3 linked regions of the Mus musculus genome follow. The protein of the gene in region 1 interacts with the protein of each later gene in a biochemical or structural test. Links are inferred from orthologs where the notes say so. Each region holds a gene or a part of one and is shown in the gene's direction. Other genes may lie near its edges. The genes, in order: Map1lc3a, Phb2 and Atg7.

The links.
Region 2: the proteins of Map1lc3a (region 1) and Phb2 form a complex in vitro, tested with the Homo sapiens proteins (2 studies listed by BioGRID). The link is inferred for Mus musculus from reciprocal best matches to the Homo sapiens genes MAP1LC3A and PHB2.
Region 3: the proteins of Map1lc3a (region 1) and Atg7 form a complex in vitro, tested with the Homo sapiens proteins (2 studies listed by BioGRID, with this or other methods). The link is inferred for Mus musculus from reciprocal best matches to the Homo sapiens genes MAP1LC3A and ATG7.

Annotation. Positions count from the first base shown.
Region 1 is NC_000068.7:155,274,867-155,278,591, forward strand, and holds Map1lc3a (microtubule-associated proteins 1A/1B light chain 3A), read left to right. Parts: upstream 1-1,497; 5' UTR 1,498-1,740; coding exon 1,741-1,780; intron 1,781-2,091; coding exon 2,092-2,147; intron 2,148-2,231; coding exon 2,232-2,338; intron 2,339-2,608; coding exon 2,609-2,771; 3' UTR 2,772-3,207; downstream 3,208-3,725. Other genes in the region: Pigu (phosphatidylinositol glycan anchor biosynthesis class U protein precursor), read right to left, coding at 3,670-3,725. UniProt on the Homo sapiens protein: Ubiquitin-like modifier involved in formation of autophagosomal vacuoles (autophagosomes). While LC3s are involved in elongation of the phagophore membrane, the GABARAP/GATE-16 subfamily is essential for a later stage in autophagosome maturation.
Region 2 is NC_000072.6:124,711,097-124,714,842, forward strand, and holds the start of Phb2 (prohibitin-2), read left to right. Parts: upstream 1-1,192; 5' UTR 1,193-1,340; coding exon 1,341-1,467; intron 1,468-1,607; coding exon 1,608-1,692; intron 1,693-1,965; coding exon 1,966-2,045; intron 2,046-2,887; coding exon 2,888-3,072; intron 3,073-3,733; coding exon 3,734-3,746. Other genes in the region: Emg1 (ribosomal RNA small subunit methyltransferase NEP1), read right to left, coding at 780-947.
Region 3 is NC_000072.6:114,642,236-114,645,947, forward strand, and holds the start of Atg7 (ubiquitin-like modifier-activating enzyme ATG7), read left to right. Parts: upstream 1-891; 5' UTR 892-915; intron 916-3,712. UniProt on the Homo sapiens protein: E1-like activating enzyme involved in the 2 ubiquitin-like systems required for cytoplasm to vacuole transport (Cvt) and autophagy.

The DNA of each region.
Region 1 (3,725 bases):
TTAGTGAAGGCACTAAATAGGACTTAAGGTCATAATTTAGGGAAGTAATCCTACCGCCCCACCCTAATTTGGGGCTGCCACATACCAGGCATTGAGCTGCCTGGAGAAGGTAGAGATGGGATATAAGGCCTGGTTGAATCCCTTTGTAGGTGGAGCCTCTAGGATCTAACATATTCCGAAAATTGAACCCACATCCTCATGCTTGCGGGCAAGCACCCTACCTGACCAAGCAGACAATAATATCTTTCCAAACAAATCCAGCTCCCTAAGACATTTAAAAAGCAAAACAAAACCCAAAACACAAGGTCTCACTATCTAGACCAGGCTGGCCTTGAACTCAAGAGACCATCCCGTCTCTGCCCACAGAGCTGGGGTTAAGGAGGCACCGCCACCCAGCCTCTTTAAGGCAATCTCAGCTGAATTCTTGTTACCTTAGCAGCTTGTTTTTGTACCAATCACTACCATTTCTGTCCATAAGCAGTTGTTTAGAATTACTCAAGCGTGCATCTGTTAACTTGGTTCCCATCAAATTTCTTCCCTTTGAGCTGTATGTTTCTGAAGTACAAACTAACTTTTTTTTTCAAACAATGGTCCTTTGTAAATTCTTTTGTTTTATCTTTTTTCTTCCTTACTTCAACTCTAGCCCATCCTCCTGCCTCAAACTCCCATAGAGCTAGGACTACAAATGAGAGCCAGCTACATCTGGCATTGATTCTGGCTTTCAATCGATTTTTAAAGTTCTTCAAGGGGCCGCCTCTCCGTGTCCGTCCAGTCCCTCTATCCCCTCCACCTCCCGCAAAACCTGAGATACTGAACTTAAGCCTTCCATCTGCTAGGCAAGTATCCTACCCTGACCCTCGGTAACATTCCCAGACCATACTTCTTTCTATCCTACCAAGGGGCTCTACCTGTAAAATCTGACTTCGCGTGTTGTCAGTTCCGAATGTTCTCCATCTCATGGTTAACCACTTCTGATATAGCCCCCCCATTCAGCGATTCTCTCCTGCTTTATCTAAACCACCTATTAACCAACCTCACTCTGGAAATCTATGCTTTCTATGGTTGTTCCAGAATTCTTTGAAAGCCTGGGTGGGGGGTCTGGAGCAATGGTTCGACAATTAAGAGCCCTTGCTATTATTTCAGAGGACCTAAGCTTGATTCCCAGCAGTGCGATTAACTCCAGCCTAAGGAAATCCGATGCTATGTTCTGCATCCGCGGGCATACACTTACAGACACATTAAAAATTTTAAAACTCTGGGTGTTCCATCCTCTCCCCGCTCCACCTTCCTTCTCGAATGCTAAACTCGATGAAGGTGCGGTGAACTACTCCGCAGCGTCGAGAGACTGGATGGAGGCGACAAATGCCTGGCTTCTGAGTCTGTGGCGCCAAAGAGAGGAGCTTGCCATCGTGACGTCACAGAACTGTGACGCGCCCTGGAGCTCCGCCTCCTTACGACCTGCGCCGGGAATCCGGGCTGTCTGCGCCGTGGCGTCACAGGTCCAGGCAGGCGGGTTTTCCGTCGGCCCAATGGGAGCGGCGCGCCGGCCTCCCCTTTAAGGAATGTTGTGACCTGACGTCACCCAGGCGAGTTACCTCCCGCAGCCGCCACCGCCAGGCTCAGCGCGAGCCCCGCAGCCCTTGAGCTCGAGCCCCGGAGCCCCCGGCGCGCCGAACCGCAGACGCATCTCTGAGCCGCGCACCCCGGAGCCCCGGCTGCGCGCCCCGCCGGGCCCGCGCGATGCCCTCCGACCGGCCTTTCAAGCAGCGGCGCAGCTTCGGTGAGGCCCTGGGGGGCGAACTGCCATCGGGGATCGAGGGATGGGGGTGCCAGTCGACCCCGATTGCCGCAGGTGACGTCAGCCCCATGACGTCAGGCACCGGCCGGCCGGACCCCGGGTGGAGAGGCCGCAAGGCCTGGCAGGGTCGCCCGCCTCCCTACCGCGTCCCCCCGGTGGAGGGCTGCGGGGCCGACGGCCCCGGGGGCGGGCGCTGGGGCGGGGCGGGCCGGGAGCCGCCCCTCGGGGATCAGCGAGGCGGAGTCGCGGGAGGCCTCAGCACCGCTGGGCCTCACACAGAGCTCTGTCCGCAGCCGACCGCTGTAAGGAGGTGCAGCAGATCCGCGACCAGCACCCCAGTAAGATCCCGGTGAGTCTCTAGCACCCCCCAGCCACGCCCTGCCCTGCCAGGTCCCGCCCTTGGCTTACGAGTCCCCCGCCCACTCCACTCCAGGTGATCATCGAGCGCTACAAGGGTGAGAAGCAGCTGCCTGTCCTGGATAAGACCAAGTTTCTGGTCCCAGACCATGTTAACATGAGCGAGTTGGTCAAGATCATCCGGTGCGTGGGCAGCCTCCTACAGGCCTTGGGTGGGGCAGGGTCAGGTTCCACAAGAAGGGATGGAGTGGGGCGAGGGGACTGATTTGGGACACCGGGCCCCTGTTCTAGGAGGCTGGAAAAGACCAAGGTCGGGGTTGGGACGAGCTTCAGTAGAGGTGAGAGCCTCTGGCTGAGATGGACCGAAAGTGAAGGTTCAGTAACATTTTGGGAGGGTCACCTAGGCCTCCAGCAGGCAGCCTCCTCACCTGGCATGCCTGCCTGCCTCCACAGGCGCCGCCTGCAACTCAACCCCACGCAGGCCTTCTTCCTGCTGGTCAACCAGCACAGCATGGTGAGCGTCTCCACACCCATCGCTGACATCTATGAACAGGAGAAGGATGAAGACGGATTCCTCTACATGGTCTACGCCTCCCAAGAAACCTTCGGCTTCTGAGTCAAGAGGAGGGGAGGGGGGTGGCTGGGAGTTCTGGTCAGGTTCTCCCCAGGGAGGTCCTGGCTCCTAAACTAAGCTATTTCAGTCCCCAGTGGATTAGGCAGAGATGTGACACCCACTCCCCCCCCCAGGTAGGGGCCACCAGCCAGCCTACCACATCCTGGGTAGGTCCTGGGCCAGTCATGTTCGGGTTGCTCTTTTGGGTGCTGGCTGGGTTGGGAGTGGGTGGGGAGCAGCATCCCTGCTCTGTGGGGTTTGTCATTTTGTTAGGCCCTTGCCTGTCTGCCCATCTTGCCCCTCATCCACCTGAGGCTTTGCCTCCTGCCAGGACCTGCCCCACCCCTGAAAGGCTGGCTCCCCTTGTCCTGACTCGGTGTATGGATCTGTGGTCATTTCCTCTGCAGAAAGAATAAAGACTGCTCAGGCCTGCCTGGCCCTTTGCCTCCAGCTGCTTGTTTGGGAGCAGGGAGGGCTGCTAGGTGACTGTGTTCACACACAGAGACAGACGCGTGTTCCCAGAAACCCACTCCTTAGTACAGGATAGCACGTAGTATTAGGGGGCCAAGCTCACTCCACTCCAGGAATACATGTCATCAGAACAACAATGAAAAAAAAAAGATCCACACATTTATTAAGTAGTCACAACCTATAAAGCCCTGCTCACCGGCTGCTTCCTTTCTGTGCACAGTCACAAAGTGGGGGTCCAAGTGGGGTGCTCCTAGCTTCTCCCCATGGGCCTTGTTGCCAGCTATGAGTCCCCTTTGGTGCCAGAGATTTGTGACCCTGGACTTGAACTTCTTCTGCCTGAGGACGCGCCTGCTGGCAACTCTGGATGAGGGACCTGGCCCAGCTTCTGGCCCTTCCCCCTCTTGTCCATGCAGCGCTGTGCCAGCCAGGGCTACTTGAGCACAAGCATGGCCTCAGTGCCGTCCTTGGCAGTCAAGTAGAGGCCGT
Region 2 (3,746 bases), on another chromosome or scaffold:
TTGAACAAGTTTAGCTCTGAAAGGCAAGACATACAAAAGAAGGAAGGAGCCGGGCGGTGGTGGCGCACGCCTTTAATCCCAGCACTCGGGAGGCAGAGGCAGGCAGATTTCTGAGTTTGAGGCCATCGTGGTCTAAAGTGAGTTCCAGGACAGCCAGGGCTATACAGAGTAACCCTGTCTCAAAAAAACAAAAAGAAAAAAAGAAAGAAAGAAGGAAGGAAGGAGGGGGCTGGAGAGATGGCACAAACTTTCTTGTATAAGACTCAAGTTAGGTTCCTAGCACCTTCATGAGGTGGCTCATGGCCACATGCAGACTTGCATGCATAAATAAAGGTAAAGTAAATATTTAAGGGGGAGGGTAAAAAAGCAAAGACAAAGGCTTTTTAAATAATCTGATCCAGACATACTTCAGAATAGGTAAATACAGAACAAGCTGCCAGTCAAGCCCCATTTAACAAAATAAAGCATCAAGTCCTTGGTAGTAAAAGGCTGGGGAAGTCACTGGCCTTTGGAAACGTGGGAACCCTCAATAGACAATGCTTCCCTCATTTTGCATTATACATCACAGACTCCGTGATAAGTCAACTAAAAGCAAGGCGAGGGCTGAAATGAAAGTCCAGAGCAAAAGGACTACCCCCAGGATATCAACAGCCTGGAAAACTAGGTCATTCTTCCAGAGCAAATTTCAAGGCTCCGCTTTTCCATGCACTCTGCGGCCCTGGTTCCCACACAATCTGATCCATCAATTCCCTACCTCCGCACTCACTGTTCAAAACTACCTTGACTGTCTCCAGACTGGCCCCTTCCAGCACCACAATGAGCCTCCGGCCTCCGCACTTGCTTCCTGCCCCAAGCCGGAGCTTCTTAGGCGGCGTAGTCTCCCAGTCCTGCTCCTGCACTGAAAATCGCCGCTCACGAGGTTGGAAGCCACCACTGGCCGCAGACATCTTGTAGGCAGACCGGAAGTTGCACCGAAGTCCTTAAGTTAGAACTTCACGTCCGTCCTCACGGCCAACTTCCTTCGAGCTGCCATTTTGAAAGAGGGCGCTCGAAAATGGCGATGCCCGTACGGAAGCCTCTCCGGGAGGGCACACCATTCCCCCCCACCAAGAGGCGGGACTTCCGGATGCGCCATTCCTGTGCGCGGAGTTCAGGGCCGCCCGGGCGGAGGGGGGCGGGTCCGGAGGGAGGCGCACTTCCGGTGCCCTTTCTCCCGCGAGCTCTAAGGCCGCCGATCCTCGTGTGCAAGGCGAGGTCTGTAAGCTGGAGCGGGGCAGAGGCTGGCGGGCACCCCCTCCTGACCGCTGGTGCCGCCGCCGCCGCCTTCGGGAGGATCAGACATGGCCCAGAACTTGAAGGACTTAGCTGGACGCCTGCCCGCCGGGCCTCGGGGCATGGGCACGGCGCTGAAGCTGCTGCTGGGGGCCGGGGCGGTGGCCTACGGCGTCCGCGAATCCGTGTTCACCGGTGAGCAGCCTCCTTCCGCTGGCCGGACGTTGCGGTCCCCAGACCCACGGTCCTGCTATCCCCCAGGTGTCCCCGTCCCACCTACGCTGACCAGCACTCGGGCCAGTAGCCTGCCCTGACTCCCACCCCTCTCTCCGCAGTGGAAGGCGGTCATAGAGCCATCTTTTTTAATCGTATTGGTGGCGTGCAGCAGGACACGATCCTGGCCGAAGGCCTTCACTTCAGGTAATGGCGGGCAGAGCGAACAGGCCCTGACCCTTCACCCTTGACGGCTGCAGCCAGACTTAACAATTCGGAGCTGCTTTACCCCTTCCTCACGCCTGCTCTTGAGGACAGTGGCTGCCTGAAACTCCAGCAATGCATAAAGGGCTGTTCTCGACTGGGAAGAGTCCTTGTGGTCGTGGGGAGGAACAGGCCCAAGGACGAGTGGTGAGGGGAACCATCAAAATCAATAAAACTGCAGTTTCCCAACTCCTGTCCATGACCTCTCCTCTCCAGGATCCCCTGGTTCCAGTACCCCATCATCTATGACATTCGGGCCAGACCTCGAAAAATCTCCTCCCCCACAGGCTCCAAAGGTAAACGTGGGCAACTGGGAGCCTCAGGGCACGTGGGGAAACAAATGTAAAATGAGCCTGGCCAGGCTGCCAGAATTGGTTGTGTTTCTGAGGTCTTGGTTTCTACGTCTGCAAAAGAGCCATGCCTCACGGTTCAAAAAACGGTGCATTCCAGTACTTGGCATGCATGCACGTTTTAACGTTACCTTCTGCCTAGCATAAAAGGGATAAGAGTTGCCTTTCTTCCTGGCTGCCTAGGTCCAAGTCTGTTTTTAAGGCCTTTTTTTTTTTCTGTTGATTTGTTGATTACATCCACAGTACACCTTGCTCTGGAGAAAGTGCCCCCACTCTTCACTAGCTGTTGCCCTGTAGACCATAGTTAGAAGGCCTGCCTTTGAGATTCCCCAAGCCTGGGCCTCATTCCCATGTACACACCGAGGCAAGTAGCCCACAGAAGTGTGCTTCTCTGTTGCTGTTTGTGGTGTGTGTGGTTTATGCGTTTGCTAAGCCATAGGCCTTGGAAATAAAACACAGTTCTGGTTCTCAAGGCCCTAATGGCAAGGGGGAAACCCAAGATTATGCTGCTTGGTGGAATCCACTTTGGAGGAGGAGTAGCAATTTATTAAAAAAAAAAAAAAATAGCTGTACTGGTGGAAGGTCCATAGAAAAGATTCCACAGTAAACAAGGGTCTGCCTCGCCCATCCATGTTGTTCACATGCTCTGTGTTGACATGACTATCTTCCTGCTGGAGTGCTAGGCTGTACAGTAACACTAGGCATGGTGGGAAGCACTCCTAGGAGAAAGCGCTGGAAAAGGGGGAATTTGGCCTTACCCGGCGGCCACTGCTGACCTCTTCCCTCAGACCTGCAGATGGTGAACATCTCCCTGCGTGTGCTGTCCCGACCCAATGCCCAGGAGCTCCCCAGCATGTACCAGCGTCTAGGGCTGGACTATGAGGAGCGAGTGCTGCCGTCCATTGTTAATGAGGTGCTCAAGAGTGTGGTGGCCAAGTTCAATGCCTCGCAGCTGATCACCCAGCGGGCTCAGGTCTGACTCCTATCACTGTCTGCACGGCGGCAGCCTGTGTCTCTCCTTGGTCAGGGTTACTGGGTACTGAAAGAAGGTATTTCGGGATGGGGTGGGACGGATCTGTAGTTCAGTTGATATGTACTTGCCTAACATGCACAAGCCCTGGTTTTATTCTCAAGCATTGCTTAAACCAGGTGTGGCACATGCCTGTAATCCTAGCACTCGAGGTAGAGGCAAGGGGATCAGGGGTTTAAGGTTATCCTTAGCTGCATGGACTGTGGGAAAGCTGTGCTGTGACTGTGGGAAATGAGGAGAAAAACGGTAGAACCTGACACCAGTCGACCCTAAGAAGGAAGCATAGTACAGAAAGTGGCAGTATTGCCTTACATCTCCACAGAAGGTCTTCCTCCGTTAACTGGAAACTAAAGAGATGCATAAACTGAAAAGAAGAGATTAGGTCTCAGTGTGATGTGGGGCAGTCTGGTGATGCCACGGCTGTCACAGGAAGAAATGGAACCAAGTTTTTTCTAGTGAATGTTTGAGGACTTAAGTGGTGGGTTTGCTGCCCATATTCAGGAGCTCCGGTGTTCAGATGGTTACAGCAATGCCACCACCTTCCTTCCAGTTCTCTGATCCCCTCAAACCAAGCCTCCCTTCCCCTCCCGACCCATGCCCCCAGGTGTCCCTGTTGA
Region 3 (3,712 bases), on another chromosome or scaffold:
TCCTGTCAAAAAAAAAAATGTTTTCCCAGTAGTAAGTTTTTTGTTCGTTTTATTTGTTTGTTTGTTTTGTTTGAGATAGTGTAGCCCTGGCTGTCCCAGAACTCACTACTCACAGATCCACCTACCTCTGCCTCCCAAATGCTGGATTTTTTGTTTTGTTTTGTTTTGTTTTGTTTTTCGAGACAGGGTTTCTCTGTATAACTCTGGCTGTCCTGGAACTCACTTTGTAGACCAGGCTGGCCTTGAACTCAGAAATCTGCCTGCCTCTGCCTCCTGAGGGCTGGGATTAAAATCTTGTGCCACCACGCCCAGCCCAAATGCTGGAATTTAAGACATATCCCACACCGTCTGGCCCATATTAGGTTCTTAAGAAGTGATTTTATAGTCACTGAAGTTGCTGGCTGCAGTAGCTTGGTGGATATTTTAGATTCTATTTGGTTTTCCAGAGTTATATTTGGTTGGGCAAGCTTTTAATCCCAGCACTGGGGCAAAGCAAAGGTAAGCAATCTCTGTTAGTTCGAGACTAGACTGATGTATATGTATACAGGTCCAGAACAGCCATGGCTATGTAGTGTAAATATGAGGAGGACATAACCTTTTTAAAAAATTAAAAATGCAAAAAATAAAAATAAACCTTGTTTCAACACCTGTACTCTAGTACTACCCTGGGAATTTGATAATAATTCCGTAGTACTGTAGAGTCACTCGCAGGAAAATGTAATCTTCCTTACAAGCCCCAAAAGGCTTACAGGTTAGCCTTAGTTTCGCCCCGTTATTGCGGTTGTGGGGACCCTTTTTGTCGTTGTTGTTGTAGTGCGCATGCGCGCCGCGCTTCCGCGTTTGTGTGGGCTGGGTTATTACGTCATTGGGCCGCGCGGCGCGGCTGGGGCTGTGGTTGCCGGAAGTTGAGCGGCGGTAAGTAAGCCGTGGTTGCGGAGCAGCTGCCGGGGCTGGCGGGGTTCACTTAGGAAAGCTGAAGCCAGTTTTGGGCTGGTCTGGAATATTCTTCACCTGTCTATACTCGGTCCCCTCGTACTCCGGCAGAGAGTGTTGCGATCTCCGGGTCGGGAGGCGCCTCTGGTTGCTCATTCTGTGAAGTGCTGCCTTTGGCGTGTGTGGACCGGCCACGGAGTAAGCTTGTGTCCCCGGACTGTGAAGGGACTTGATCTTGTTACTTATGAGGAGGACATAATTAAATCTTTTCTACTAGAGGTTCTGCATCCCCTTAAAGGACCCAGAGATTACAAATTAGTACTTTATAGGAAATCAGCCTGGTGAGGCAAATGCACTTGTCAGAAAGTTTCTGAGCCAGGCATGGTCGCGGAGAGAGGTGACCCCAGCCGCAGGGAACCTGAGCCAAGAGAACTGCTATTTAGAACCAGCCTAGGCAATCGGACACAAACCCTTTTGCAAACTGGAAAACGGGTGTGGGATGTAGTTAAGTCCCAGAGCGGTTCTTCAGCGTTCCAGGGTCCTGGGTTCAATTACCAGCACATGCCAAATTGAATTTGAGATGAGACCGAATCAACCTGCGTCTGCAATTTTATTTAATTCTTTAAAATTATTTGTAACTTTGAGTGCGTGTATGCGTGTGTGGTCTCATGCCTCCAGAGACAAGACATGGCGGACCCCAGCAGAAGTGGAGCTCCAGGCAAGCTGTGCCTGATATGGGTGCTGGAAACCCTACCCAGGTCTTTGTAAGCACTGAGTCGAGTCAGCTTTCCAGTATAAATTAATTTATTTTTTTAAGACTGAATGCCATGCACCCCATGCTGTCTTTGAACACTCAGTGAAGCAGAGGCCGGCCTTTGAGTTTTTATATTTCTACTTCCACCTCCTTGAGTCCTGGGATTACAGGTGTGTACCACTACGCCTGTTTTTCTGATGTGTTCCTGCATGCTGGGCATCATAATATCATGGACTATTTATTGATTTTTTTTTTTTTTTTACATCCAGGGTTTCCTATTTCTAATGGATAAATTACAAGACGGTGTGTGTGTGTGTGTGTGTGTGTGTGTGTGTGTGTGTGTGTGTGCCTTATAGCTTATACAGGGGGGAAACAGGGGTAAACAAATGGAAAGTGGTTCCTGGGGAAAAAAAAAGAGACTTTGGAGTCATATTGACAGCAAATACTCTATCATCACCTCAGAGCTTCACTCCCATATCAGGCATCCTATTTATAAATCCTGGTCACAAATGTGCTTTCCCTTTCAAACGTGCTAATTTGGTGGCTTTTTATGTTGGTTTGACTTTGTCTTTCTTTTTTTAAAACCCATGTAACTGGTAAACAGACCTGTCTGCCTTGTAGACTTGAGGGCTCTGCCTCGGGCTTTTCCTTTCCCATAGACTGTTTATTTGTTTATTTTTTATTTTATTTTATTTTATTTATTTTTTTTTTTTGGCCTTGGTTTGTGAAAGCTCATGACTTCCTGTTGCTTCCAGCTTGCCTCCACCCAGTTCTTACTCAAAAAAGTCATGTGAGGAGTTAAGGACTGTGGCTTGCAGTCACAGCCCATTGCCCAATTAGAGTCATACTTGCTTTTAGTTGCCCCATGTGTATCTTTGAAAACTGCTAGACTGCCTTCCTCTCTCCTCTGTAGCTAAATGCACTTAGTTCTTTATAGTCAGTTCTACTGTGATACAAGACTTTTATATTATTAAATCCTAACATACAAAGCAGTGTCTGGTATATATGTTTAACAAATATGCATAGATATACCAAGTAAATGGCATACTTGAATACCAAATAAAAGACACATGCGAATGCCTATTATGTACCAGGCTTTATTTGTAAGTTAAGTGTCAGTGAATTGTACACTTTAAATGAGGTGGTAGTGATTATCTTTTTTTTTTTTTTTTTTTTTGTTTTTGTTTTTCAAGACAGGGTTTTCTGTGTAGCCCTGGCTGTCCTAGAACTCACTCTGTAGACCAGGTTGGCCTCGAATTCAGAAATCCGCCTGCCTCTGCCTCCGGAGTGCTGGGATTAAAGGCGTGCACCACCACACCCGGCTGGTAGTGATTATCTTAATCTCAGCACTTGAGAGGCTGAGGCAGAGAAAGCAGAGAAAGAAGGATTAAGAGTTCCACATGCTAGGTGTGGTGGTGCACACCTTTAATCCCAGCACTCTGGTGGATCTCCGAGTTCAAGGCCAGCCTCATCTACAGAATAAATTACAGGGGTAGCCAGTGCTATTCAGAGAGACCTTGTCTTTAAAAACCAAGAGATCAATCTTCTGATAGGCATAATTGTACAATCGTTTCATCTCAGTACCTTAGGAACTGGAGACCATCCTGATCTTCACAGTGGGGCTTTGTCTAAACAAATAAAAAAGTTGAGGCCTGGAGCAATGTTTCAGTGGCTTACCCATGCCATGCAAACACAAGGATCAGCGACCCAGAATCCTCATAAGTACCAGGTGGGCTTGATGACCTGTCTGTAATTTCAGCCTTGGAGGGTAGAGGCTGGCTGTGCAGAGCAAGCTGGCTAGCTAGACTAATGATATGGAATATTGATGAGTCCTGGGTCTGATTGAGAGACTGCTTCAATGGAACAAGGTGGAATGTGATGGAGGATGACTCCCAACTTCAACCTGGGCCTCCACAAGAATGTGCACATATGTGCACCCCTGTGCACATGTGCCCTCCCATAATGCAAACACGCATATACATACATGGACAACACAACCACATGAAAATGGACAAGGAACAAAGC